Linked DNA regions of Macaca mulatta. The protein of the gene in region 4 interacts with the protein of the main gene of each other region in a biochemical or structural test. Links are inferred from orthologs where the notes say so. Each region holds a gene or a part of one and is shown on either strand. Other genes may lie near its edges.

Region 1 (4,812 bases), on a different chromosome or scaffold from region 4:
ACAAAGCTCTGAGATAACTTTGGATTTCTGCTTGTTGTACTTTTCTGCCCATCAGTTCCTTCAACCTTGCTTCTTTCTCTTGGGGCCTCAATCCGAAAGCCTTACTGAAACCTTTTTCAAAGCTGCTTTTGGTAATTAAGTGAATGCAACTTGGAGAGGGTTTCCTGTAGTCTCAGCTACTTGAGAGACTGAGGTGGGAGGACTGCTTGAGCCCAGGAGTGTCAGACCAGCTGGGGCAACAGAGTGAGACCTCCAACTCCAAAAAAAAAAAAAGAGGTGGTTTGACTTGAGGGACCCGGGTCAGAGGTTGTTTATTTGGGATTATTGTTACCTAGCTTCATGACTAGCAACTGTCAATTTCACTTCTTTGTGAATCGGAGTCTTTATCTGATCCTTTCTAGGGATCCTCCCATTTCAGCCTCCCAAGTAGCTGGCCTCACAGTTGTGTGTCCCAGTGCCTGGTTATTATTATTATTTTTTTTGTAAAGACGGGGTCTCACTTTGTTGCTCAGGCTGGTCTTGAACTCCTGGGCTCAAGTGATCCTCCTGCCTCGGCCTCCCAGCCTCCCAAAATGCTGGGATAACAGGCGTGAGACATTGTGCCTGGCCTGTAATGAACTACCGTAGAACCTAAGATTAGCCTTCAGGCTTTTGCATTTCTGACAAACAGATGGCCCCACCCAGACCAGCCACTCCTCTGCTGGTCCTCCACCCAGAAGTCGACGCAGCAAAGGAGAACCATTTTCCACACTCCTCTGATTGCATCCCCAACCAATCAGCAGCACCCATGCCCTAACCCTCTGCCCACCAAACTATCTTTGAAAACCCCTAGCTTCCAAATTTTCAGGAAGATTAATTTGAGTAACAACTCTGTCTCTTAAGTGGCGTGGCCAGCTTCATGTCAAACTCTTCACTGCAATGGCTTGGACGCAGTGAATTGATTTTATCTGTAAAGCCGGCAGAAAGAACCCGCTAAGCGATTACCCTATATGCAATTACCTTAAATGTTTCCTTGATTATTATGTTTCTTCCAATTACCTTTAAATTCCAAGAGAGCTGGGTCTCTAACTGTATTCCCCACTTCTGGAACATACAAGATGCCCAATAAATATTTGTAGAATGAAAAGAACTGTAAAATTTCATCAGACAGATCAAAGGAAACTTAAAGTTGCTTGAAGCTTTAACAGGGGCATTGATAAAAATGAGTAAGTGGAGAAGGAAGTGATGACAAGCATTGCAACAAAGCAATGAAAGCAATGTGCATATTTATCCTTAAAAAACACAAACCAGTCACATATATGCGTATGTGTGCGTGTATATATAATGTTGGCTTTTTAGTTTCCCGTGGAGTGTGAACTGAGTTTCTGAGGTTTATAATAAAGTATTTAACAAGGATTTCAGGTAGTTGTCTAAATATAAAACATTGTATCATAGAATTAGAGCAGAAAAGGATTTAGAATACAAGTTCTTCAATTTTACGGGGGTGGAAACTAAGGCCTAGGGATCTAAGTGTACTTGGACATTGGGAAATAAATACAGCGATGTGTCTGTCGATGAGGAATACATACGCCAATCATACTTCTGTATAATCATTACTAATAACATAGCAATACTGCCTTACATTTGAAAAGTGTTTGAGTGTGACTAGATCCTGCACCAGTGGTTCTGAAACTTGAGCGTGATCAGAATCACCTGGAGGATTTGCAAAAGCACAGATCGCTGGGCCTCACCTCCAAAATTTCCAGCTCGGTAGGTCTGGTGCAGGGGACTGGGAAAGTTTGAGAAAAATCATCCCAACTCCTCTCAGCTCTCGCAACTGAACCGGGCCCGCTCGGCACTCAGGAAAAACTACAAGTCCCGGCGTGCCCCGCGCGCAGCGGCGGAAAGTCGGGCACTTCCGCTCCACGCAGCGCCTCTGCTGCCGCGTCTCGACGTGTCACCGGCGGCGCCGCTGCTGTAGCAAAGGAAGGAGCTGACTGGGGGAGTTCGAGGTGGTGGGCGGCGGTGACCCCGGCCTGGAACTGCCCCGGTACGGAAGTGTTCCAGGGTCCGTGGGGAGCAGGAGAGGGAGGCGGCGGCCCGTCCCGCGCGGGACACGATGTTGAACATGTGGAAGGTGCGCGAGCTGGTGGACAAAGCGTGAGTATCGGGGGGCAGTTGTGGCCGAGGCCCACGTGGGGGAGGGGGTAGGGGGAGACGGAGCTGGCCTTGGGCTAGGGGTTGCCCACGTCACGCCCCCCGGCTCTGCCAGTCCCATCATGGCGGCGACCCGCTCCTTCCCGGCCCCGGGCCTCATCCCCGCTGGCGAGGCTGGGGAGGGACCCTCCCTAGTTTTAAAAAACATCATCTTGGCCACCCTTCTCTCCTTTCCAGGCCTTCCTGTCCCTTCCCCTCTTCCAACCCCTGGGTGCCGACGCTTTGGTCATAAGGGGCGCGTTGTTTGACGCTGGGTCACTGCCCTGGCCAGAGGACTATCTTGGCCCCAGGCTGTGGGCTTTGCCTCCTGGGGAGCAGGGAAGGTTTGGGGTTGGGGGGCACAATGCACTGGTTCTCTGTGTCCCTCAGGGTGTAGTACAGAGAGACCTTAGACCTGGCTGGATTGTGTCTTTTACCTTCTTGGCCTCCTCTTAATTCCTAATGAACCTGAAGTGTTGGAGCGGGTGTTCGTAGTGTAACAAGTGGCTATTGTGGTCAGCCTGAAGTTACTCAAAAAGAGACTCATCCTTTGCTTTTCTAACACTAGTGAAAGTAGATCACTATATAACTTCTTGCGATTTTTTCTTTTTCCACTACACATCATTTTTGGTGTGCTACTTGTTCCATTCGATTAAATTAAGAGGTCATTAAGAAATTTCCCCTTAAGAAAAAAACAACGCAGGTTTATATCCTGTTGATCTGCTTTTAAAAGCAGGTAAAACGACCAGTACGTAGTTGATTTTCTTTAAGACTGAAATAACTTCAGTCTCTTACTTGCACAAGGAAAACCTTAACTTTTAAAATGAGTATAATAGATATAACAGTGGTTAAGTAAGGTCTTCTAGGCCAGCAGGAAATAAAGTTTAAGAATTTAGGCAGTCCTCTTCCTTTTGGGTTTTAATGATTATGCAATAAGTGTGGTGAGAAAAACAGTTCATTTGTGCCACCCACCTAACCTAAAATCAGGAAGTATAGATAACAAACTGTTTTCTTGACACCAGGAAACAAAGTAATTTCCAGTGCTTTGTCTGATGCATGAGATAGAACTTAGAGCTTGATCATATTTTTGTATTTTCTGTGCTACCAAGAAGGCAATAGAGTGCCCAAGGAGCATAGGTTTCAGAACCTGCAAAGCTGGGTTCAAGCTTTGTAACCTTAGGGAAGTTACTTATCCTCACAGTGCCCTAGTTTTTTCTGGTGCAAAATGAAAATGCAACAATACCTACCTTAGAATGTTGTTGTGAGGCTTAAGGGTTAAGGGATTGTATTGCATATAAAGTCCTTAACGTGTGTTTAGATCAGTGTACTTTTGAAACTAGCAAATGTTTTGCATTTAGAGATAAATCTCTTTAAGAGAGAAGCTTCAAGTTTGAAAAGTGATTTGCTTTAATAATTTTCCTTTATAACAACTCATTTGGCTATTAAGGCTTTAGCTGTTTATTTTGGACTATTTAGCTATTTATATATTGCTTTTGCTTACCAAAGATGAAATAAACTAATAGTTCTTTTCCAGATCCAGGTTCATTGGCTTTTTTTTAGTATATTGTGTAAAGATTAGGATATCAACTTAAATAGTTTTTTAAAGGCCAAAAGAAGACTAAAAGCTGCCTTTTTCTTTTTTTTTTTTTTAATTTTGATGGGGTCTCATTCTTTCGTGTGATCATAACTCACTGCACCCTCCAACTCCTGGGCTCAAGTGATCCTCCTGCCTCAGCCTCCCAAGTGGCCAGGACTACAGGCATGCACCACCGTGCCTGGCACTGCCTCTTTATTTCTAAGTCAGAGGTCAGCAGAATAAAACCATTAAGAAACACCTTCTTCTCTTAGAGGACTAAATTTGTGGTACTCAAAAATTTGAAGAGGCTGTACCTTGTTCGTAAGACAGAAATTGAGGCAATATTCCTACTATTGTTGTACCTTTCATATTTGCTTATCACACTTGTTACTAATCTTCATGTGCTTTAGATTAAATTTACCATGTAAGTAGTTATGTAAAGGAAAAGCTATTGTTGAAAAATATTATCTGTCTTTTTACTACCCAATTTAGGATGTAGACTTCAACCAGATTATTCAAGAACATAGAAGAATGTTGCCACCAAAAACTTTTTAAGGCTTTTGTGGGTTTCTGACACATTAAGATTAGAACATGAGGTTAATTTACTGATGAGTACTCGGGATTTTAATTTTCATCTTTCACTGGCAAGAAGAGAAGAAATTCTTCCCCCCAAATGTAAGCATCTTACAGAACTGTGGATCTGTTAGACTGTGCACCTTATAATGCCATAATAGATGTGCAGCAGATCCATAGAATGGCTGGTCTGATTATCAAAGATTTAAAATTATGAAGGAACTTGCAAATGAAGAAACAGTGAAGCAATTAAGGACTATTCAAATAGGTGGATCAATAGAATGAGGGTTTATATGAGAGAAAGGTTAGGGGGTTTAACTGTCTGGTTCATATTCTGGCATTACCTTTTTAATTAGCTGTATGTATGATTTGAGGCAGAATCATATGAATCTCCAGATGTTGCATTCCTTAGAGTAAGACTTTTTCCACCTTTAATGGCTATTGGAGAAATGCGTTTCCATCAAGGAAAAGTAGTTGGAACTAGTTTT
Region 2 (4,793 bases), about 4.7 Mb from region 4:
GCAAAACACTTTGCTAGAGGCTGTAGCATGGAATACAGATTAGGTTGGTGATGTCACAAAAGAGGGTTTCAACAGTGTCAGCAGAGGCTGTTAGTGATGACTAAGGAAGTTGATAAATGGCACCATCTGAAATAGTTACTCGCCCTGAATAGGCAGGTGGAGAATATTAGCTACAGATGAGACAAATCCCATTATGAGAAATATCATCACAACAAGAATATTTCATTCCAGATTTTAGAATCCCAGGTTTTGGCTCACTTCGGTCAAGAAAAACTATAAATAATTGAGTTCGAGATAAATAATTAAATGTTAGCCTCTTGGAGTGCATGGCAATTGGTTTTGATCTCTATATTAAAATTCACAAGACCACGGACATAAGTCAAAACAGGTCCCCTTCGTCTCCCTAGTCACCATATCCAGGGCTAAAAAACAAACTTGAAATGGGTGCCAGTTAGACTATAGGAAACAGGATCTACAAGCACCAGGAGCTCATCTATGGCTATCTGACATGGCCTGGGGACGCATCACTCTCTGGCAGCTGGAGATTGTTAACATCGCCAATTCAATGTTAATTGAATGCAAAGGAATAAGAAATAAATTCTGGTTCCCAAAGGGCAGCTGGAAAGGTGTTGGGCTTCTCAAACTCAGGCCTAAAACCAAGCATCCTCCTTGCCAGAGGAAACGGAAAGCCCCTCCCCCATTTTTAGAATCAGGCTGGAAAACACGGCTCCCAGAAAGTGGGGTTAGAAAACAAGAGCTTGCGTGGCGGCGCCCTGTGGTCCCTCGAGGAAACAGGAGAGACACAAAGAGGGCCTGCTCCTGGGAAGCCCTAACTTCGAACCCAATCCTTCCTCCTAGACATTACCTACAGCTTCAAAGGGCAGGGCGCACACCTCCCCTCCCGCATCTGTAGGGCGAAGGCAGGTCGAGGGTAAACATTTCTAGTTATTCAATTTATTCAGTGGTTAACTATTTTGTGGGTACCAGACACCGACCTAATCGGTTTACGTCCTTCCCTTAATTCTCACAATTCTGAATTTGTGTTATTAACCCCTTATTATCTTTGGTCTACCAAGGGCAGCCAAAGAGGCGCAGAGAAGAGTGACAATCTGCCTAGCAAGCGGCGGGATCAAAGCCTGGGTCTCTACTTCCCAAGCTGGAGATCTTGGGCTTCCTGCTCCTCCTGCGCGGGGCGAAAAGCCCACCTGGGATCCGAGCGGGCGGCCGCGCCACTCTCGCAGGCTCCATACGCCCACCGCTGCCCGCCTGTACCACCTGCAGCGGGCAGCGACGCCTCCTTGCCGGTCCCGCAGGGCGCGCTGCAGGTGCGCGGGGCGTCCCGAAGCCCCGCCCTAGCGTCCCTGCCCCGCGCCCCGCTCCTCACGCTCGGTACCCGCGCCCCGCAGCGGCAGCGCACAACGCACCGCCTCCGCCAGAGCCAGGGAAGCGCTCGGGCGAAGAGGAGGAGCCAAGGGTACCGAGCGGGTGGAGTCGGGAGCCAGAGAGCGGTGGAGGCGGATTTCCTGGGCCCGGCCCTCTGGAGCTACCATGGCGTTTGGCAAGAGTCACCGGGATCCCTACGCGACCTCCGTGGGCCACCTCATAGGTAAGGAGGCGCGGGGAGAGACGCCCAGGCAGGCAGGGGACCGTGGGATCCTTTCCTGCTTGATCCATTCTCGGCCTGCAGAGGACGGAGTTAGTCCAACTTGGAGAAAATCCTTCCCCTCCCCCAGCAACTTTCCCAGGGCACCCGCATTCCACCCGGCCCCCTTTCGTCCGTTTCCTTCTTGGCCAACTCACTCTAGAACCCGCAGTCCTCAAAAATGTACCTTCCTTTCGATGTCTCCTGGGGAGTGGAACCAAACAGGTGAACCGCGGGAGTCAGGCATGGAGTATTTGGGCCTCCACAAGGAGACACCAGAAACTTGTCGGCCAGGGGAAAGTTATTCCTAAACGCACACTCTCTAGGGCACGGTATTGTTATGCCCGTTTTACAGAAGAGGAGGCTCTGGGAGACTAAGTGATGTGACCTTACTGTGAGGGGCAGGTCTCCCCAAACCAGTTTTCAATAGTGCCAAGCTTATACAACCTGGATTGCTTTTCTGGGTAAACAAAGATAATGAAAATGCTTGGCATTGGAGTGAAGAGGAGGGGAACAGAGGAGCCATCTGGGGGCACGGAGGTCTCTTGCAGGCCACTAGGGACTACACCGGCATCCACCTAAAAGATTTCTCTCTCCTCCGAATGTACCTTGCATGATGTATGTAGAAGCCAGTGATTGGACTCTTACAAGCACCAGCTCACTGCTCCCTCTTTTCCCTGATTCCTCCCTTGGGAATTGGGTGTGGCACGAGTGCATATTAATGCCAGGCAAAGTGTGATGATGTCAGGAACTTAGTGGGGTGATGAAATCTTGAGAACCTAGTAGTTGTAGTAAAGAGGCCGAGATTTGGAAAATTTAGCTCACAGCTCTACTAACTGCCGTGACACCGAACACACCACTTAAACAGAACCTTAGTTTACACATCCTTATAAAATGGTCAGAGTAGCTACCATTGAGGAGATGCTTTCCCTTGATGGCTGTGCTTTGTTGGATATTAGAATGAACCCTGAGCAGAAATGGGTTCCGACTGTATCTTCATAGGCAAAAGAAACTTCAGCAATTCATCTGCTTAATTTTTTAATTCTGTAAACATGGACTAACTGTCAGCTATGTGTCTGGACCTGGATCAGGCACTGGTAAGGCCAAGGTGAGACGTGATCTCAAACCTGAGGGAACTCATTTTCTTGTAGGGAAGACCGCACGGTTTTGTGCCGCACCTTTGCAATGCAAGAAAATGCAAAACACACAAAACTTACCGGAAGGGAGAAATGAATTCTACTGTGGCTTTTGAAGGGTGAATGGGAGTTTTCTAGGAAGATAAGCTTTGTCCATTTGGTGCCAAATTCAAGTTTTGTTTGTTTTTTGTTTTTTGCTTTTTTTTTTTTTTTTTCTTTTTTTTGAGTGTCGCTCTGTCACCCAGGCTAGAGTGCAGTAGCTCTCGGCTCACTGCAACATCCGCCTCCCGGGTTCAAGCAATTCTCCTTTCTCAGCCTCCCGAGTAGCTGGGACTACAGGTGCACGTCACCACGCCCAGCTAATTTTTGTATTTTTAGTAGAGATGGAGTTTCACCATACTGACCGGGCTGGTCTCGACCTCCTGACCTCAGGTGATCCACCCGCCTCGGCCTCCCAAAGTGATTGGGATTACAGGCGTGAGCCACCGCACCCGGCCTCAAGTGGTTCTTTTCCTTGATTGAAAGCAAGCCAAACTTTGGGGTTCCCCGAAACAAGTCCTTATTCTTTCTTTCCCTTCTCTATCCTTTTTGGTTTTTTCTCCATTTCCCCCAGAACCCCGTGTTTTCATTCTTAGGGATCTTATCCTTCTCTTAGGAAGATGTTAGCGCATTCATGTTGAGTGTTCCATTACCCTTTCCAGGTAACATCTTGTATTGCCTGATTATCTAATGATAGGGTTCCAAGTGCAGAAACATTCTGGTCAGCCTGGTGCAGCTGTGGTTAGTTTAGATGCTTGTTATTATTAGTTTGGATAGTTACTCAGTGCCAGTTTGAAACAATTAACACTGATAGTAAAAGTGTATGCAATGGAAGTTTTTACGTAGTCGAGATAAGCAGTGTCTTTGCAAGTATTGGTTGAAGTTATAATAATTGGTAAAATTAGAAGGAATCGTGAGATTAAGATGATAGGAGAATAAATATGTTACTATTATTTGGAGTTATGCCAATATTTTGGCTCCTAAGACCAACGGATTACTTCTCTCCTTTAAAAATTCTTTCCTCCTGTCCCCCCAGAGAATAAATTATTTTTAAAAACAAACAGTGAGACCAAACAACGTAGATTTGAATGCCAATTCTACTTCATACTGACTGTATGACTTTGGTAATTTCCTAACCTCTCTCAACTTCTGTCTCATCATCTCTAACAGTGGGTTAAATGAGATTGCATATGATAAAATACGTAGCACTATGCAGTTCACCTTGTAGGTAGCTGCTCACTAAGCCCTAGTTCCCTTGTCTGAAAGCCAGGCAGGTGGAGATTTAGCTGGCCTGGCCTGGGCCTGTGGCCAGGTATTGTGCTTGCAGTCTTTATTAATAGATCACTCATTACTGTTGCTGCAACAGCACTCTGAACTTGGGTTCTGATTGATTCCTGAATTACTGAGAACGGTTCCAAAAAAAATCACTTTGCCCTTTGGCAATATACACTTAATGACACTTGCTAGTGCAGCCTAGGCAGATTATTTCAGGAATACCAGACATTTTTTATTCTGTCGTAGCTCAGACTCAACAGCTTTTTCTTGGCAGAAAAGGCTACATTTGCTGGAGTTCAGACTGAAGATTGGGGCCAGTTCATGCACATCTGTGACATAATTAACACTACCCAGGATGGGTGAGTACAGCATAGTTTCCGTGTATTTGCCTCTGATAAGAAGCATCAGAACTACAGCACGTTTTCTCTTGCAAATGTTTCAGTTTTGTTGTTGAAAGAGTGTTTTCATCATTCATTAGGCGCTCTCTACCTTTTGAAGACTTGTCAGATTGAAATATTGGGGCAGCTGCTTGCTTCAGCATGTAGAGTATCTATAAATCCACTATCATTTTTTTCCTCTTGGCAGTTTCTTTAACAGTTTCAAATTTTGTCACTGTGAAGCTCAAATTGCTTCTTTTTAAAAGATTGGGAAAGGCCAGGTGCAGTGCCTCACGCCTGTAATCCCAGCACTTTGGGAGGCTG
Region 3 (4,804 bases), on a different chromosome or scaffold from region 4:
GTTTGATTTCTATTTTGTTGTCTTTTGGGGTGCTTGTTGCTTTTGCTTTTTGCATTTTCAAATGTGTTAACTTTGAAGAGGATAACCTGGGATAGGATAAGTAATTACTTAGATAGAACTAAGGGAAATAAAAGTATTAATGCTTCTTTTCTGCTGTGATCCTCTTGCCTAATTTGCAGGGGTTTGTATTCTAACATGACTACAGGAATATGGGGCAGGCCCCTTTCAATCTGGAAAGTTCATGAGTTGAGTGGAGAGTCCTATAAACACAGATGGAAACCAGAAACCAGATAAAAGGCTGAGAAATCAAAGGTTCAGGAGGAAGAGCTTACTTTGAGGAAGATAAACACAAACCACTAAAATCTCAAAACATGTAAACAAGATACGGTGTTGAACATCTAGCAGTAAAGCTTCATGTGAACAGTACTATTAAAAACTATTACAAAACAGAAATAAACTGAGAATTTAAGTGAATTCCACAAACATTTATTGAGTATTTACTACGTGTTACCCACTAAATTACGATGAAAGAGTAGGGCTAAGAATAAGCATAAAAATTCTACCTGAGTGTAATTATTCATTTCAGAATATGAAGATTAGAAATAATTGGCATACAGCAAAACAATGGAATTCAGAATTTGGTAGTTGTCAAACAGAAAAGAGTGACAAATCCTGAATGCCAACTCTGCCTTATCCCTAGGAAACGCTTTGATTTGTTCAAGGAAGGTAAAAGGTCAAACAGGCTTTTTCATAATCTATTATCCTTGAAAAAGATGAATCTTAGTGTTTGATTCCCTGTTTCCAAAAAAACCTGATTTTTAATTGTAATTTTGGTCAAGTAAATTTCCCATGGTTGACAGTAGGAACCACAGACGTAAAGATTTAAGACAGGCTTCAAGTTCTAGGATAAAAAGGCCAAAAGTAAAAAGTTCTGGACGCTCGAGTCAGAGAAGGCACCAGAGAGACAAGAACATGAGGATTACAGATGGTATTATGGTATTAGGTGTCTCCAGTAAATGCTTTCAAGAGAAATTTCTCAGTGTAATTCTGAGACATGTTACATAGGATCAGATCTCAGGTATTCTACTTCCTAATTGCAAACAAGTGACTTAACCTGTCTGTGCTTCAATTTTTGTATCTATAAAAGGGGGATAATGATATTACTATTTTATCCCTCGCACGTGGATTAAATGAACTAACTAATGAAAAGTGCTTAGAACAGTACCTGGCACATAAGCAGTCATTGAGTGTTAGTTATATAGCAACAACTGTATCAGTTGTTAGTTTATATATAAACTATAGTTTATATATATTTAAAACTATATAGTTTATAAACTGTTAATATAGCAACAACTATATTAGTTGTTAGTTATATAGTTGTTAGTTTTATAGTGTTATTTATATATTAGTGTTAGTTATATAGCAACCCCATACCCCCACATATACCCCCAACTATACCCCCATAACTTACACAGAATTGGAACACAAGACTTCCTTATTAGCTCAACAGAGTTCCAAATCTACTAATCCGAGGGACCACCTTCTGGGCTGTGGTCATCTCAGTAATGTAGCTATTCTATTCAATCTTCAGATTTTTGTTTTTACATTAGAGGAAACCAAGGCACAGAAGTTTTACTGGTTTGCTCAAGGGTCACCTCTCTCTAACCCACTCTAGCCTTTGGAAATGTTAGTGGTGTTCCACTTTTCTGCTGAATTTAGTTTTATTAAATTCTGAATTTAGTTTCATTAAACTAGTCTTCCAGGGTTGGATGAAATCTGGGTTTGATGAACTTCCCAATAGAGCTGACTAAGCAGGACCTAGGAAGGAGCTACTTCATAGAACTAGCTGACATCCAGTTACAGTGGCACCAATAGTCTCAGAAAAGAGCAGGTTGGGCCAGTGGGGATTTCTTCCATGTAAATCAGACAGCATAGACACAGAGGATCTAAAAGTGGGGACTGAGGAAATTGGTTTTAGGCAGAACCCAATGTTGGGAGATGGCAAGATTTAAGTGAACAATTTTTAAACTGGGAAGGAATATTATGCCAAGAAGCCAGTGAATATCCAAGGGAGGTGTCTTGGGCACACAGGGATAGGGACCTATGATATGTAAAGGTCACCATGGATACTTTTGAGATGAGGCATTAGTGACAATAGAGGTTAGCAGCTATGGTGATAGCTTATCAAAATAATCTTTTGATCAATCATTCAACAGTATTTACTGAGTTCCTATGTCTAAGGCAGAGAGGAAGGTGACACACTGATAAAATACTGTTATTTCTATCTCTACACATTTCATTACATTTTCTAACAGTCAAATCAGTAAGTGAGGCAGTTTCTGGCCTACACTAAACCATTACTGAATTAATGAATATGCCTTCAAACAAGTGGGATAAGGGGGTAGGGAGACTGGAGAAACCAGCTGAATAGGGTTAAGACAAGTCTGTAACGTGAACAATGAGGCATTTCCATAGCATTTTTACGTTTTGTAAACCACTCTCGCATTTATTTTTCCCCCACTTATAACTCCAAAGGCTATAAGGTAAGGCAGTTAATGGTTTTATTAAACTGAAGAGTTAACTTTGGCCCAGAAAGCTTTATTGACTTGCCCAACGTTACACAACACATGTCAGTTGCAGGGGCAGGAACTAAGAACCCAGGCTTCCTGCTTCCCCGCCCATTCAGTCCTTCCACTGAGCCACACTGCCAAGCAAGATCCAGAGGCTTGGAAGTTGAGGACAAAGCCCCGAGGTTAGAGAGCACTGGCACTTCACACCTGGACCTGAACCTGTTGCCCGTGTGGCCTTAGTAGGAGGACAGTGGGTGACCCGTCGCGGTTTGGGGTTGGGAGGTAATGGCAGGCTCACCTCCTCTGTGGGAATCAGGTGGTTACTTACTCATATTGCCCGTTCCTCTGGGCTAGGGTCAGGGCGCAGGGCTCCCGGAGAGGACCCTTCATCTCCATACCCTCGACAGTATGCGGGCGCTAGTCAAGGGTCTCCTGTGGAAGCGCGGTGGGGAGGAGTGGTGCACTGCGGGGCGAAGGGGGTCTTCCACCCCCCGCCCCGGCCGCCCTCACCCGCCCCGCCCGGCTTCGCCTCCCGCGCCGGCCCCCTCCCCCACTCTGCTTGGCCTCTGGGCCACCCGGTTGCCCCGCCCCGCCGTGTTCCGCAGGGCCCCCGACCCCCACCCGCGGCCCTGCGCGGTCTCCCCTCCCCCTTCTCTCCGGCGGATACGGCAAGGGGCTGGGCTCCGACCGGGAGCGGCGGCTCCATCCAGGCGGCCTCCGGGCTCGGCGGGACAGCGGACTGCGGGCGGATCCGACGACAGTGGCTCCCGAGTCCCCACACCCACCCACCCACCTCGGCTGCGTGTCGTTTGAGGAACCGCTCCGCGCCGGGCGCCGGGCGCCGGGAGCCGGGAGCCGGTAGCGGGGAGCTGGGAGCTGAGAATCTGACCCGAGAGAGAGCGGCGCCTCGCGCCCCCGCCAGTTTTCCAGGCCGCCGCAGATTCCGCTCCCTGCGGCCAACCTGCGGAACTGCAGCGAGAGACCCGACGGACTGGGGGCGTCCCTACTACGTCCAGCAAGGAATGGGGTTTAAATGCCACCTGTGACATCAAAATTGTTCTGAGGACTTTGAAGATGGCCACAGAAACAAAACACAGTCACACCTATGGGGGATCTCAAACCTGTTGTGTCAATACGACCCACATCATCCATATATGAAACAATATATATATAAAATATATAAAATTTATATATTATATAATATATATTATACATAATATATATTATATATGTAATATTATATATAATATAATATATATTATATATAATATAATATATATTATATATGTAATATTATATATATATATTTCTTAAGGTTATAATGCTCTGTGTTGGTTATCCTACCATTTCCCTTCCTCTTCTTTCTTCTATGCCCTATATCAGAGAATTCCCCAAAGCCCAGACCTTTGCTCCTCCTCTGCATCCCCTCCAGGTCACCTCTAACTAGACAATGTCCAAATATATATCCCTGGCCCAGACCTGTTACCTAATAGAGTCCATTGTTAATACATCACTACGTCACAAAACTAACTCATTATCATTTCACTTAAAAGCCATATATTGTCTTCCCCCTCCTAATCTCTATATCCAATCAGTCAACAAACCCTGTTAATATTTTACATGGAATTACTTTTAGATTCCTTATTTTCTTTCCATTCGCACTGCCATAACTTTATTGTAAGCCCTTGTGATAGCCTATCTGGGTTATTGCATTTTTCTTTAAATAAATCCTATTGGGTTTACTCTGTCCTTTGACCTGTTTACTCTGTTGACAACCATAACAATATTTTTCCCAAAGTAATTTTTCGATTGTGTTATTCATTTGTTCCAGAATATATAATACACTAAGTATCAAGACTGACTGTAAGTCTGTAGTAATTAAAAGTATACTATGGAGATAGACAATCAATGAAACACAATATAAAGCCCCCAAACAGACCACACATATATGGAAGGTTGATATGCAGCGTGTGGGACATTTCAAATCAGTGGGGAAATAATGGATTATCCACTAAGTGGTAGTAGGACTACTGCTTATCCATATGGAAAACTATAAAATTAGACCCCTACCTCTAACCATGGAAGAAAAATCAATTCTAGGTGGATTAAAGATCTAAATGTGAAAAGCAAAACTTTATAACTCTCAGAAAAAAGCTGAGTATCTTTATGAGCTTGGAATATGGAATGAGAATAAGACATTTAGCTAAATAAAATTTCAAAATGTGTGTACTTCA
Region 4 (4,890 bases):
GCTACTTAGCAAACTGGTAGAAGCTCAGAGGTCAGAGACCTAAGACGCCAATTAAAATAATCCTTATTAGTTGGGCTCAGTGGTTCACACCTATTATCCCAGCACTTTGGGAGGCCAAGGCAAAGGATTGCTTGAGCCCAGGAATTCGAGACTAGCCTGGGCAACATAGTGAAGCCCCATCTCTACAAAAAATACAAAAATTAGCCAGGTGTGGTGGCTCATGGCCGTAGTCCCAACTACTCAGGATGCTGAGGTGGGAGGATGGCTTGAGCCCAGTAGGTCAAGGCTGCAGTGACCTGTGACAGTGCCACTGACCTCCAGCAAAAACCCTGTCTCTTCAAAAAACAAAAACCTTATTAATTTTTCAAAAGGTAGGAGATAATGAAGTCAGGAGATATATTATCATGGAAGAGGCTGTAGTTATTTGCGCTCTGCAATTAATCAGCTGGAGCACACAGTCATATTAGCTAAGCAAGCTTAACTTTAGGCATGACATAGCAATCCAAAACACAGAGGGCTGAATTTTCAATTTGCAAATCTGCTTTATATTCAAAATCTTCAAATTATTTGAGAAGAAAATGGCTTCATTCAAGTATCTGCTGAAACTGAGCCAGTTACAAAACAGACATGTATTAAATTTGTCTTCAATAAGTGACAAGGTTGGGTTCCAATCTCTGGCATCATTTAACAATTCTTGTCTCCTCTTTAAAAGAAATGAAAAGCTATTACTCGAACCACCACAAGATTTAGTAGTGAGCTATACATCTGCCATGGAAAATAAACAGCAGCTGTACTTGATTCTTTGTGTGGTTTATAAACATTTGTCTGCAGAAAGATATTTCAGATGCAGCTTAGTATGAAAACAAGCCCGCGTTTTCCCCTCACACTTAAGAACAGCACTTTCTCAACTCTCCACATTCATTTGCCACCCCACTTTAACAAAAATAACTAAAGCAATTAAACTTGGATTGATTAAAAAAAAATCCACTTTGTTATTTAACGTTTTTAACCTTCTGTAAAAGTGTTTTTATTATTGGCATAAATATATTTATATATATATGCCAAGATATGCCAAGGTATATTCCATTACTTCAGATGAGTTATTTGAAAATTATAGATGACTGAAGAAAGTGCATTATTTGACTCATTTTATGGGTAAAGATTTATTATTCTTTACATTTCAAGCCTTAAAGGAAAATAAGTCCTTGCTAGTGCAAACATGGTAATACCTGCAAAGAAATATGAAATTATGTTACTTATAGCCTGAATATTAAAACCTTTTATTAACAAAACTCTTTTATGTATGTTATACCAATGGGGGAATGTAAATAAAAATGGTCTTCAATGGTAAAGTGTCTAATAAGTCACTGATATTAGTGTCATGTCAAACCACTGCATTCTCTGTCATTATGGAATTAGCCCTTCAGACGATAGAGCTGAGGCAGGTTTCTTTAAGGGGATATTTGGGAAGAAAGCAAATTAATAGGAATAAATTGTTTCAGCTACAGTAAAAATCAGGATTGGTGACACAGGAAAATCAAAAGCTCTGAAGAGGTTTAATTCAGTGAAGCCTTCCAATGGTCACCTGCCTAGGCCAGCGATTGGCATGCTGCCAGATGAGACAACAATATGTTGCCTCCAGGATAAGGAACCATGGGAAAGAACTCTAGAACTTACTAAAGGGAAGCCAGTTACAGACCAAATAGCCCCGCAGGTCTCAGAGCAGCTGTGCTCTGTCCCCAGGGCTCTGTTCAATTCCATGCGATCCTGAGGAAGATATTCAAAACTACCTGCTACTACTCGAGAAGACTAGAAGATAACCTCTGTATCACTCTTTCCTACCTTCTAGAACCAAAGAGGGGTTAAGAGCCACAACATCCCCAAAGAAATAAAAAAAGTGGGAAGGGGAGGCGAGTTTCCTTAGGGAGCTCGACCCCACACACTCTGAGATTGACATCGTTCTGAGAAATGCGTTCTCCCATTCTACCCTCGTTTCGTTCTTTCAGTGACCTTCTGTCCCTACTGCCTCAAGGAAGGCAAGAGACAAGCCACCGCCTCACCACCACCCCCAACCCCCACCACCGGAGAAGGTGCCTTTCTCAGTTGAGAGCCGCAGAGGGAGGAAAAAAAAAAGGTTGCTCCTCCCCAACCCACCCGCCCCACAACTCCTGGGTGCAGACACGAAGAGGGAAAGAGGAGAGCAATGGAAGGTGACAGCCCCGCACTGGCCCAGGGGATAAGAATCCTTGCTCTGGTAGAAACAAGAGAGAATCCCCCCTCCCACTCCCCTACCCAAATGAATGAACTGAACAAAATGGGGAGGAGAGAGTTTGTACGCGCAGTTCTGGCCATCCAGGAAGCAAGATCGAGAGGCCTTTGGATCCAGGCCTGGTCTTTGCAGCCCTTTGCACCCCAACTCCTGTCCTTTCATCCAAGCCCCACATCATTTAACAGTTTAAGCTTTCTAAGATAGTGCCCCCTCCTCCACCTACCCCAAAGACCGACAACCCCCCCACCCCTCCAGCTCCGATCCTGCTCGGGGCCCAGACTCCAGCTTCTTCCACTATTCCTACCACCTTCTCCACAGCCCTCACCAGCCCGGGCCCGGCCGCACCTGGAGATGCTCCTGAAAACGAATTGGCAGAATCTGGGCCATGGCGCTGTCGGGGGGAATGGTCTCCTCCTGTCACTGGGGCTGCGGGGCAGTGGCTGCCCGGGCTCTCCGAGGGAGAGGAGGAGAAGGGGAGGGGGGAGGCTGGGCTCAGCAGGATCCTCTCCGGGGACGCAGGAAACTGGCACGCAGACGAAAGAGCTCGGGTCGGGGGCGGAGGCTCCACGGGCCAGGAGAGCCGCAATGGCGGAACCGGGCGCAGCGCAGACTCCGGAAACGGCTGAGCCCAGCGGAAGGATCCCGGCGACAGAACTCCGCCCAGTCGCCTCACCCCCTCCGCCTTATGTACCCCTCCACGGAGCGGTGCGTGCGGCGGGTGCAGGAATTCCGGGCGCTGTGCGCCCGGAGCCTCTCTTCTGACGCCACACGGGGGGCAACAGAGGAACCGGAGGGACTACTTTTTTAGACTCATCACTTTCGCCAATCTTCTTTTTCTACCCCCACTTTTTTTTTTTTTTTTTTGCATTTTGCCACATCATGCGACTCGGAGCGACCGACGTCACTTCCGTGGGCGCTTTAGGTCCCACCCACGTACTTCCAGGTGCACGTGATACTGATGGGGAAGGGTCGGCTGATTGCTGCCAGAATGGAGAGCGCGTTTTAAGGAAATGCGGCGTCTCCTGGGAGTGAAGTGGCTGTTGGGCCACCTTGAGGCATGACGGGTGCCGCTTCCTTCCCCTGCGACCCCTGCCTGTTTGGACTGAGCCCCTTACAGGAGGACGTGGCGGGGGCAGACGGGGGCAGCCTCCCGCCCTCTCCGTGACTCAGGGAAACGGCCTCGCCGCAGAGCGCTCCCTCGGCAGCTGGCTGCAGCACTCCTCCCCCGCCGGGCTTCAGAGTGGGTGGTTTCCTACAGCCTAGGGAGGGGGCCTGAAACGGGGTTTAAAATCCTCCCTGCCCTCACACACGCCCTTCTGACGGTTGGAGAACCTGACGCGCGGATTCTAACTAGAACCGGCACTCTCTTCGGGTGTTAGATAATTAGCTCAAAGGACAGCGAAGGCCATTTATGATGTGTCTCAAGCTGGCCTTATGACAGCTTCTCTTAACGTTTCTGCGGACATTTTGGCGGGCGGACATGTGTCAGCCTAGCTCAGTAATCAGTTTCGTTAAAGAATTCGAGTATCAGAACGTACAAGGATTGGACTCAAATTCTAGCAGGAGGATTTTTAGCCACATCAAATAATTTATGTCTCAGAGATTTAGATAATTAGGGTAAGGATGCTTGGTAAAGCCTGAAGGTTCCTGGAGGAAAGAGATGAACTGTTAGTCGTGCATTTCCGTGGGACCACCTCAACATAGGTTCCTGTAGGTTAGCAGTGTAGAAATGCAGCGCTTCAAAGCCGGAGCATCATGTCTTCAAAGAGCATGGAGGTATCAACGGCATTCATTGTCGATTAATAATAACCTTCCCAGTACTTTCTTGCTAAAGTATAAGCCATAATATTTCATAATCGCACCAATACAAAAAAGGATGAAAGACTTTAATTCTGTGCCTTTTATCTTTGTAAGAGAGGTGATTCCCCACCCTCCCCCGAAAGAGAAAAGCTCAAGTCCACAGTAATTATTTTTAGTGCCCTTTTCAGTTAAAGGACATAAAACCCTACTGGGTAGACAGTAATTTTGTGTGCTAAGTTTGAGTTAGGGTGAGAAGTTTGCCAATCAGTTGCTTTTAGTGTTTTTCTCTTTTACTTAACTGTCTCATACTGAGCACGAGAGAAGAATCTGGCAGGTAACAGGGCAAAGATTGTTCTGCAAAGAAAAGTCTTACCACCATGTTGTAAGAGTGAATATTTATAGTTGCAAAATATCTTTTTGTATTGTTAAGCTAAATACACGAAGATCCTCTGTGTTCCGCAACGTTTGAAATGAAATGCCAGTCTGATAGTAACTGCTTTAAACCCTTTTTGGAAGTAGACAAATTCTAAATTAAAATTCTAAGGGAGTAATTGTTTTATTACAGTAATTTAATAGCTTGATCAAGTTACATTTTCAGTCTCAGAATCTGGAGATACAAGAGCCATATCATGAATGGGCCACCAAAATTTAATTTATTAATGTGTCTGGTATTTTCATACAGACCCTGTAACTTTAGAATCCCAAAAGCAGTTGATTTTAGCTATTGGGTGTGGAGTATCTAACCAAAAAGTGCACTGAGGTCGTTAGTGACTGTTAGGTCATCACACACAGAAATTACATTGTTTTGAGAAATAATTTAG
Region 5 (4,736 bases), about 44 Mb from region 4:
GCCTCCCGAGTAGCTGGGACTACAGGTGCCCACCACCACGCCCGGCTAATTTTTTGTATTTTTAGTAGAGACGGGGTTTCACCGTGTTAGCCAGGACGGTCTTGATCTCCTGACCTCGTGATCCGCCAGTCTCGGCCTCCCAAAGTGCTGGGATTACAGGTGTGAGCCACTGCGCCTGGCTGCTAATTTTTATATTTTTAGTATAGATGGGGTTTCCCTATGTTGGCCAGGCTGATCTCGAACTCCTGACCTCAAGTGATCCGCCCGCCTCAGCCTCCCAAAGGGCTGGGATTACGGGCTTGAGCCACTGCGTCTGGCCTGTATTTTGTAGTTTTTTAGTAGAGACAAGGTTTCCCCAAGTTGGCCAGGCTGATCTCCAACTCCTGACCTCAGGTGATGCACCCGCCTCAGCCTCCCAAAGTGCTGGGATTACAGGCGTGAGCCACCACGCCCGGCCTTAGGTTGCAGTGAGCCAAGATTGCGTCACTGCACTCCAGCCTGGGTGACAGAGCAAGACTCCATTTCAAATAAATAAATAAATAAATAAATAAATAATAAAATAAAATAAAACTACCCAGTGATGGAGGTCCTAATGTCTCTATTTTCCAGGTGAGGAAACTGAGGCAGAGAGAGGTTAAGTGTTTTAAGGTCACAGAGAGAGTAAATGGTGGGAATTAATAGAAACCAAGGCGGTCTGGCTCCGAGTCCATCCTCTCAATCAATATTACACTATCCGTCTCTGTAGCTGGCATCAATAGTTTGTTCAATTGAAGGGTATTCGCTTTCCAGTTGCTGAAACAATTTAAGCCTGGACTCCACCCACTGCTGGGAGGGTAAGGAAGTGTTTGGCAATCCCAGTGATATGGCCAATTGTGAGCCTATTCTTTGAAGCATCACCTTACTCCTTCCAATCCACTCTGCCTCAGCAGTGATCCCTGGAAAGGATCCTCAGATAGACAGCAGAACGTGAAATCCTGCCAACTAGCCCATCCCTCCTCCAACTCTACCACCCCATTCCCAGAGGACCCCAATGGGCAGGTTGCCGCAGTATCTGGGTAAGACTTAACCATCTTTCCATCTGGTCTACAGCTCTGACAGCTGGAGCATATAGGAGAGCAATGACTCTGGCCTTTGGCCCTAAATGGTTTCTACCATAGGCCCAGTTTCTGCTACAACTTCACTTGTCCCTTCTTCCCAGAAAGCCAAGCTGTCCAAAGATTATAAGGTAAAGGGTATGGAGGCCCCCAGGTATTCCTAACCAATAAAAGGGAATAAACATCGATACGGTGGCAGCTAGAATAAACATCCTATCTTTTGTCCCAACTTGGGGGCTGAGTGCTGTGGCATCATCCAGGCTCTCCCTCCCCTTTGCTTCTGGTTTTCCTCTTTGTCCCAGGGTGTCCTCCCATTAGGAGCCCTGGCACAGGGCTGTGACAGCCACAGTCAGTGGGCCAACTGCAGTGTGGCTCTGGGGCAACTGCCCTGGAGCAGCTGCAAGGCACCTGCCCTTTGGATCCTAACCCAGCCACCTCCTGCCAGGCTGAGGAGGAGCAGCGTGCAGATACTAGGCTGGCCAAGGAGGCAGAGTGTGGGGATGACCAGGGAGGTGCCCAATGGGGGCAGGGGTAGCTGAAGCAGATGTCCTTTCACACTTCCTGCTATTCTCTCCATTTCCTGTGGCCCAGAATTTGATGGAGGTGAGGGAAATTGGGTCAAGTCAGCAGTCCCCTTTGGTCCATCTGTCCCACTCCTTGAACCACATAACGGAAATCAGGGGCCTCCCACAAGGCAGCAACTTCCCCTTTCTCTGGGATGTTTAAACCCTAATCCAGGATACCGATCATCTCTCTGATGATCTCTTTCTGATACTCATCTACTTGACGCTCAGAAACCTGGGTTCTCCTACTCTATAGGTTGGAAGTGGGGTCGATATGATGCTTTGCAGAGCAAGCCAGAGCTCAGGACCAATTCCCTATTCCCGATCCCCTCTGGGTTGAGGCCTACAGCCCCAACCTTTCTGTCTTTTGCTCCTGCTCCCCTGGGACTCAGGCATTCACCCCTTACCCCTTGGGGGTGTTGAGTCACAACAGGAAGTGGATTTTGCTAGAGACCAAAAAAGAGAACTCGGGGTATCAGTGGAAGGAAAGAGCCTCGATTGCACAGAAAACATCCGGGGAGTGGACGCGCGCCCAGCGTGAATACTGCCTCCCCCACCCCCAGGGAGAGGGATCCGATCTAGTTTCAGGAAGGGTCAGGCTCTCCCAAGATGAAGCTGTTGCTCCTGGCAACCCAGGGGAAGGTAGAAGTTTGGATGAGGAGCCACCCGGCCCTCGGGACAGGTGTGGGCAGCGCGACTACCTGGGGGATATTGGACAGGAGGCTTTGCATTGGCTTGGCACGAGTCTGGAGGGGATCCCCCTCCCAGCATCCAGCCTCCCCGTACACGACCCCTCGGGGCCAGCCACCTGCTCCTCCCTCCGTCCCTGCATCGCAGCCTGCCCAGACTCCTGGGCACGGGAGAGCCCAGTAGTCTGGCCCCACATCCCTGAGAGAACCCCGACACCGGTTTTTCTGATCCCCCTCCGGCCTCGCTTTCTGCAGGGGCCCGGGCATTTCCCCCCAACCTCATTATCCTCGAGGACCTGCGCGTGCGGCCCCGGATGGCTGTCCCTAGGGACCCAGGCGTCCGGCCCCCAGATCCTCTCCGCGGCGTCCTCGTCTGGGACCGTCCCAGCCCCCGCCCCGAGCCGCCGCCCATGCCCCGCCGCGTGGCCCCACCTCCCTTACCTGGTCCCGGGTTTCTCCCCCATGGTGCGCGCGCCCGCCGCCCGCTCGGTTCGCGGCTCGCTCGCAGCCTCCTCGCCCGCTGCCAAGATCCCTGCTCCTCCCCGCGCCAATGCGCACGCGCGCCCTCCGCGCTCTCGCCTCTTCCCCCTCCCTCCCGGCCCGGCTCTGGTCTGGGGGAACCGGGGCCAGATGCGTCAGCCGGATCGCGCGCGCCGCGGCGCTGCCCGCCCTCTCCTAGCAGACACACGGGGCCATTGGCTCCGCCCCCAACCCTTCGCGTTCCGTCCCAGCCGGGGAGCCCTCCCCCGCGCGCGGGGCCCGCTCCCGCTCTTCCCGCCCATCTCCCCGCCCCGCCGCAACCCCTTGAAACCGATTGGGCCCCCCTAAACCAAGGCTCCCGCCTTCCAGGGGATCTAAGTCTTTCGATTGGCCCTCGGCATCCAGAACCTTTAGGGGTCTCCTCCCCTTTGTTTGCTTTCTCAGTGGCGGTGGGGGCGACCGGGCTGTTGGGGGCGGTGGAATGAGCTGAAGCGCCGTCTGGGAAGGAGGATGGTGGGGGGGAACACGTGGGTGAGCAGTTCAATTGCGTGATACTTGCTTCAGTGCGCGCGGCTCACCTGCTCCACGCGGAGCGTACCGCCTTCTGTGGCCAGCCCTCCCGCTTCTTCACCGCAGCGTGTCAGCTCCTCCTGGTGTCTACATTTGATCTTCGCAGGGTTCCCTTTTCCAATGTCTCTGACTCTCCATCTCCTTCACCCACCCATCCCAGCTAACATCCACTCACTCACTCGCTCGCACCCATCGGTCCATCTATCGACCCACCCATCCGTGCCTATTTTATGCTATTTACTATGCCAATCGATGGGGACACATATGAATTACCATGGCCCCTGACTTCCTAGAATAGTTGAGGAGACACATACACAGGTATTACCCAGGTATGCTATTACAGAGGTCTGAGTCAGAAGACACAGCCACTAACAGCGCTCGGCCCGGGCGGGGGTGGAGCGGAGAACAAATGAGGACAGTCTTTCTGAAGGATGTGCAGAAGTTTTTTTTCGTTTTCTTTTTTTTGAGATAGAGTCTCGCTCTGTTGCCCCGGCTGGAGTGCAGTGGCGCGATCTCGGCTCACTGCAACCTCCGCCTCCCAGGTTCAAGCACTTCTCTGCTCAGCCTCCCGAGTAGCTGGGATTACAGGCGCCTGCCACAATGCCTAGCTACTTTTCATATTTTTAATAGAGACAAGGTTTCATCACGTTGGCCTTGCTGGTCTCAAATGCCTGACCTCGTGTTCCACCCGCCTCAGCCTCCCAAAGTGTTGGGATTACAGGCGTGAGCCACCGTGCCGGGCCGGGCAGAAGTTAAGACAGGGCATTCCAAAGAGAAAGACAAGGCACATCCTGTTGTGTGGTGTTGGTGGGGAAGCCTGGAACAGGTTGTGGAGGATTTTGTATAGCAGATGAAGGAGCGAGACTGAGGGCCCCGCAGAAGGACACGAGGAACCAGTAGTGGTTTTTAAAGCAGAGGGGGCCGCGTGCAGTGGCTCACACCTGTAGTCCCAGTACTTTGGGAGGCCGAGGTGGGCTGATCACCTGAGGTCAGGAGTTCGAGACCACTCTGGCCAACATGTTGAAATTTAGGCTATAATCCCAGCTACTCATGAGGCTGAGGCAGGAGAATCACTTGAACCTGGGAGGCAGAGGTTGCAGTGAGCTGAGATCGTGCCATTGCACTCCAGCCTGAGTGACAATAGCGAAACTTCATCTCAAAAACAAACAAAACAAACAAAAAACCTCCAAAAACCCAAAAATGAGCCAAGTATAGTGACTAGTGCCTAGAGTCCCAGGTACTAGGGAGGCTGAGGTGGGAGGATCGCTTGAGCTGGGAGGTCAAGGCTGCAGTGAGCTGTGATCGTGCCACTGCACTCCCGCCTGGGGAAATATCTTTTC
Region 6 (4,092 bases), on a different chromosome or scaffold from region 4:
TGGAAAAAAATGGTACTGCATAGAAACGGTTTTCTTATTTTTCTTTCCCATAGAGTCCATGTCTTTTCTGTCCCTATATACATTTAACCCAATTTCTGGTATACAGGACATATTGACTACTTATTTATAGCAGAGGCAGGGTCTTGCTCTGTTGCCCAGGCTGGAGTGCAGTGGCACAATCATAGCTCAGTGTGGCCTCCAACTCCTGGGCTCAAGCGATCCTCCTGCCTCAGCCTCCCGAGTAGCTGGGACTACAGGTGCGTGACATCACGCCTGTCTAATTTTTTTTTTTTTTTTTTTTTTTGAGACGGAGTCTCGCTCTGTCGCCCAGGCTGGAGTGCAGTGGCCGGATCTCAGCTCACTGCAAGCTCCGCCTCCCGGGTTTACGCCATTCTCCTGCCTCAGCCTCCCGAGTAGCTGGGACTACAGGCGCCCGCCACCTCGCCCGGCTAGTTTTTTTGTATTTTTAGTAGAGACGGGGTTTCACCATGTTAGCCAGGATGGTCTCGATCTCCTGACCTTGTGATCCGCCCGTCTCGGCCTCCCAAAGTGCTGGGATTACAGGCTTGAGCCACCGCGCCCGGCCGCCTGTCTAATTTTTTTTTAAATTTTATTTTGTAGAGACAGGGTCTCACTATGTTGCCTAGGCTGATCTTGAACTCCTGGCCTCAAGTGATCCTCCTGCCTCGGCCTCCCAAAGTGCAGGGATTACAGGTGTGAGCCACCGTGCTCGGCCACTACATCTTTAGTAAATGAATAAATACAGTGTTATGTCCATTTTGGGTATTACCTGGCCATCTAGATAAAAATCCTCAGAGACAGGGGAGCTGCCTATACTTCTTCGATATTGCCTAGTGTAATGATGAGAACACAGCAGATTCTCAGCTAACAGCCAGTGAATTAAATATAGCTGGAAAGTCCTTCAGGAGGTTTTCTCTTTTTAAATTATTTTTTATTTTTTATTTTGAAAGAGACAGGGTCTCATTTTGTTGCCCAGGCCTGTCTCAAACTTCTGGGCTCAAGTGATCCTATTTTTTTTTTTTTTTGAGATGGATCTCGCTCTTATGCCCAGGCTGGAGTGCAATGGCGTGATCTCGGCTCACTGCAACCTCCACCTCCCCGGTTCAAGCAATTCTCCTGCCTTGGCCTCCCAAGTACCTGGGATTACAGACATGCGCCACCACACTGGGCTAATCTTTGTATTTTTAGAAGACACAGGGTTTCACCCTGTTGGCCAGGCTCGTCTCCAACTCCTGATCTCAAGTGATCTGCCCGCCTCAGCCTCCCAAAGTGCTGGGATTACAGGCATAAGTCACTGCACCTGGCCAGATTTTCCAATTTTATTTTTATTTATTTATTTTTTTGAGACGGAGTCTCTCTCTGTCGCCCAGGCTGGAGTGCGGTGACTGGATCTCAGCTCACTGCAAGCTCCGCCTCCCAGGTTCACGTCATTCACCTGCCTCAGCCTCCCGAGTAGCTGGGACTACAGGCGCCCGCCACCTCGCCTGGCTAGTTTTTTTTTGTGTGTATTTTTTAGTAGAGACGGGGTTTCACCGTGTTAGCCAGGATGGTCTCGATCTCCTGACCTCGTGATCCACCCGTCTCGGCCTCCCAAATTACTGGGATTACAGGCTTGAGCCACCGTGCCCGGCCTGGATTTTCCAATTTTAACAATCTCTTTCTAGAATCAAGTTGTAAGTGCAGAAAGAACTAGCTCAGAACATCACTGATTCCCTGGCCATTCACCAGCATGCACACCCAGAATAACAACGCTCCTCAATGATACTACTGCAAGTACCTCGCCGATGGCCTTGATCTTGCTCAGGCAGTTCCTCATGGCTGTGCTGTCAGCATTCTCAAGGGTTCCCTCTTCCTCCAGGGCGGCCAGGTAGGCGAGGGTTTCCCTGCCGTACTGCTTACAGGCCTCGGTCAGTGCTGGAGATACAAGGCAATAGACACCTTTTTTTTTTTCTTTTGAGACAGAGTCTCGCTCTTGTTGCTCAGGCTGGAGTGCGCTGGTGCAATCTCGGCTCATGGCAAACTCCGCCTCCTGAGTTCAAGCGATTCTCCTGCCTCAGCCTCCCGAGTAGCTGGGATTACAGGTGCACCACTGTGCCCGGCTAATTTTTGTATTTTTAGTAGAGACGGGGTTTTGCCATGTTGGCCAGGCTGGTCTCGAACTCCTGACCTCAGGTGATCTGCCCGCCTCGTCCTCCTAAAGTATTACAGTGATTACAGGCGTGAACCATTGCACCTGGCCAGTCATTTTTGTATTTTTAGTAGAGACGGGGTTTCGTCATGTTGGCCAGGCTGTTCTTGAACTCCCGACCTCAAGTGATCCGCCTGCCTCAGCCTCCCAAAGTGCTGGGGTTACAGGCATGAGCCACTGCACCCGGCCCAACAGAGACTTTTAAAGGCCCCCAGCTCCCCCGGTCCATGAACAGCCCCTTATGCCCTGGTACTCACAGTCGGCAGGCTCAGGTGGGGCTCTGAGGCTGGTGCTGGCACCATGAGAAATGGCGTCGCTGGTCAAGTGGGCCAGCAGGGTTATGGAATGGAGAAGTCCACTGATGTCTGCCAGGATTGGAAAGGAAGTTTCTCAGGTCTGGTTGATGGTGTCACTTTCATACCCTTTCCTCCCCTATTTTATGAGTTGTCTACACGCCTTTCTTGATGCAGAGGAACCTGTCACCATTTCTGCATTCAGGTGCTTCTCAACCCTGTCCAGCTGTCACTAATGACAGAGACTATCCTTGGCCATTCTTACCTTCCGGGCAGGCCAGATACTGGCTCCAGCTTTTCTCCAGTTGTTCAATGCAGCTGGAAATGGACGTGACTGTGGAGAGGAGGTGATCTGTGAGAGGGAACACAGGGTAAAGTCACAGCAAGTTCTCATAGCTGGCTTCATCCTCGTTAATTAAGCACTGAATAGAGGAGCTTACCTAGTGGGTAAGCTTCTTGCCTAGACGTGAAGTTCATGAGTAATCACCTCTTGACTCAGACCATAGTTTTTTCCTTAGAGAAACACAGAATTGTCTGCTCCTGGTGGATGTTTTATCAGTGTGACCCACTGTCTAAAGCAGTGGCTATCGGCCAGGCGCGGTGGCTCATGCCTGTAATCCCAGCACTTCGGGAGGCCGAGGCGGGCAGATCACAAGGTCAGGAGATCGAGACCATCCTGGCTAACACGGTGAAACCCCATCTCTACTAAAAGTACAAAAAATTGGCCGGGCGCGGTGGCTCAAGCCTGTAATCCCAGCACTTTGGGAGGCCGAGATGGGTGGATCACGAGGTCAGGAGATCGAGACCATCCTGGCTAACATGGTGAAACCCCGTCTCTACTAAAAAATAACAAAAAACTAGCCGGGCGATGTGGCGGACGCCTGTAGTCCCAGCTACTCGGGAGGCTGAGGCAGGAGAATGGCGTGAACCCGGGAGGCGGAGCTTGCAGTGAGCTGAGATCCGGCCACTGCACTCCAGCCTGGGCGACAGAGCAAGACTCCGTCTTAAAAAAAAAAAAAAAAAAAGTACAAAAAATTAGCCGGGCGTGATGGCTCTTGCCTGTAGTCCCAGCTACTTGGGAGGCTGAGGCAGGAGAATGGCGTGAACCCAGGAGGCAGAGCTTGCAGTGAGCCAAGATCGCGTCACTGCACTCCAGCCTGGGCAACAGTGCATGGCTCTGTCTCAAAGAAAAAAAAAAAAAAAAAAAAGCAGTGGCTATCACACCTGGGGGCTTTAGAAAATACTACTGCTGGGCCTGGTGCGGTGGCTCACGCCTGTAATCCCAGCACTTTGGGAGGCCAAGGTGGATGGATAGCCTGAGCCCAGGTCTTCAAGACCAGTCTGAGCAACAAACCCCAACCAAAAACTAGCTGGGCGTGGTGTTGCGTGCCTATAGTCCCAGCTACTTGGGAGACTGAGTGGGGAGGATTGTGTGAGCCCAGGAAGTGGAGGTTGCAGTGACCCACCGCACTGCACTCCAGCCTGGGCAACAGGGTAAGACCCTATCTCAAAAAGAAAAAAAAAAAAAAAAAAGAAAATACTAGTGTACAGGTTCTAATGCACAGAGTTTCCAAATGTAACTGATCTAGG

The links.
Region 1: the proteins of CLTC (region 4) and CLINT1 form a complex in vitro, tested with the Homo sapiens proteins (2 studies listed by BioGRID). The link is inferred for Macaca mulatta from reciprocal best matches to the Homo sapiens genes CLTC and CLINT1.
Region 2: the proteins of CLTC (region 4) and TOM1L1 form a complex in vitro, tested with the Homo sapiens proteins (2 studies listed by BioGRID and IntAct). The link is inferred for Macaca mulatta from reciprocal best matches to the Homo sapiens genes CLTC and TOM1L1.
Region 3: the proteins of CLTC (region 4) and OCRL form a complex in vitro, tested with the Homo sapiens proteins (2 studies listed by BioGRID and IntAct, with this or other methods). The link is inferred for Macaca mulatta from reciprocal best matches to the Homo sapiens genes CLTC and OCRL.
Region 5: the proteins of CLTC (region 4) and ARRB2 form a complex in vitro, tested with the Homo sapiens proteins (3 studies listed by BioGRID and IntAct, with this or other methods). The link is inferred for Macaca mulatta from reciprocal best matches to the Homo sapiens genes CLTC and ARRB2.
Region 6: the proteins of CLTC (region 4) and HIP1 form a complex in vitro, tested with the Homo sapiens proteins (3 studies listed by BioGRID). The link is inferred for Macaca mulatta from reciprocal best matches to the Homo sapiens genes CLTC and HIP1.

What each region holds. Positions count from the first base shown.
Region 1 is NC_133411.1:166,740,735-166,745,546, reverse strand, and holds the start of CLINT1 (clathrin interactor 1), read left to right. Parts: upstream 1-1,923; 5' UTR 1,924-2,098; coding exon 2,099-2,139; intron 2,140-4,812. UniProt on the Homo sapiens protein: Binds to membranes enriched in phosphatidylinositol 4,5-bisphosphate (PtdIns(4,5)P2). May have a role in transport via clathrin-coated vesicles from the trans-Golgi network to endosomes. Stimulates clathrin assembly.
Region 2 is NC_133421.1:55,064,071-55,068,863, reverse strand, and holds the start of TOM1L1 (TOM1-like protein 1), read left to right. Parts: upstream 1-1,508; 5' UTR 1,509-1,548; coding exon 1,549-1,606; intron 1,607-4,338; exon of another isoform or gene 4,339-4,366; coding exon 4,367-4,451; intron 4,452-4,793. UniProt on the Homo sapiens protein: Probable adapter protein involved in signaling pathways. Interacts with the SH2 and SH3 domains of various signaling proteins when it is phosphorylated. May promote FYN activation, possibly by disrupting intramolecular SH3-dependent interactions.
Region 3 is NC_133426.1:136,000,426-136,005,229, reverse strand, and holds the start of OCRL (inositol polyphosphate 5-phosphatase OCRL), read right to left. Parts: upstream 3,277-4,804; coding exon 3,238-3,276; intron 3,200-3,237; exon of another isoform or gene 2,982-3,199; coding exon of another isoform or gene 2,979-2,981; coding exon 2,899-2,978; intron 1-2,898. UniProt on the Homo sapiens protein: Catalyzes the hydrolysis of the 5-position phosphate of phosphatidylinositol 4,5-bisphosphate (PtdIns(4,5)P2) and phosphatidylinositol-3,4,5-bisphosphate (PtdIns(3,4,5)P3), with the greatest catalytic activity towards PtdIns(4,5)P2.
Region 4 is NC_133421.1:50,364,966-50,369,855, forward strand, and holds the start of CLTC (clathrin heavy chain 1), read right to left. Parts: upstream 2,894-4,890; 5' UTR 2,657-2,893; coding exon 2,615-2,656; intron 1-2,614. UniProt on the Homo sapiens protein: Clathrin is the major protein of the polyhedral coat of coated pits and vesicles. Two different adapter protein complexes link the clathrin lattice either to the plasma membrane or to the trans-Golgi network.
Region 5 is NC_133421.1:6,238,507-6,243,242, reverse strand, and holds the start of ARRB2 (beta-arrestin-2), read right to left. Parts: upstream 2,888-4,736; 5' UTR 2,811-2,887; coding exon of another isoform or gene 2,788-2,810; 5' UTR 2,759-2,787; coding exon 2,625-2,758; exon of another isoform or gene 587-2,624; intron 1-586. UniProt on the Homo sapiens protein: Functions in regulating agonist-mediated G-protein coupled receptor (GPCR) signaling by mediating both receptor desensitization and resensitization processes.
Region 6 is NC_133408.1:50,697,628-50,701,719, reverse strand, and holds part of HIP1 (huntingtin-interacting protein 1), read right to left. Parts: intron 2,855-4,092; coding exon 2,768-2,854; intron 2,575-2,767; coding exon 2,467-2,574; intron 1,936-2,466; coding exon 1,799-1,935; intron 1,601-1,798; exon of another isoform or gene 1,339-1,600; intron 1-1,338. UniProt on the Homo sapiens protein: Plays a role in clathrin-mediated endocytosis and trafficking. Involved in regulating AMPA receptor trafficking in the central nervous system in an NMDA-dependent manner. Regulates presynaptic nerve terminal activity.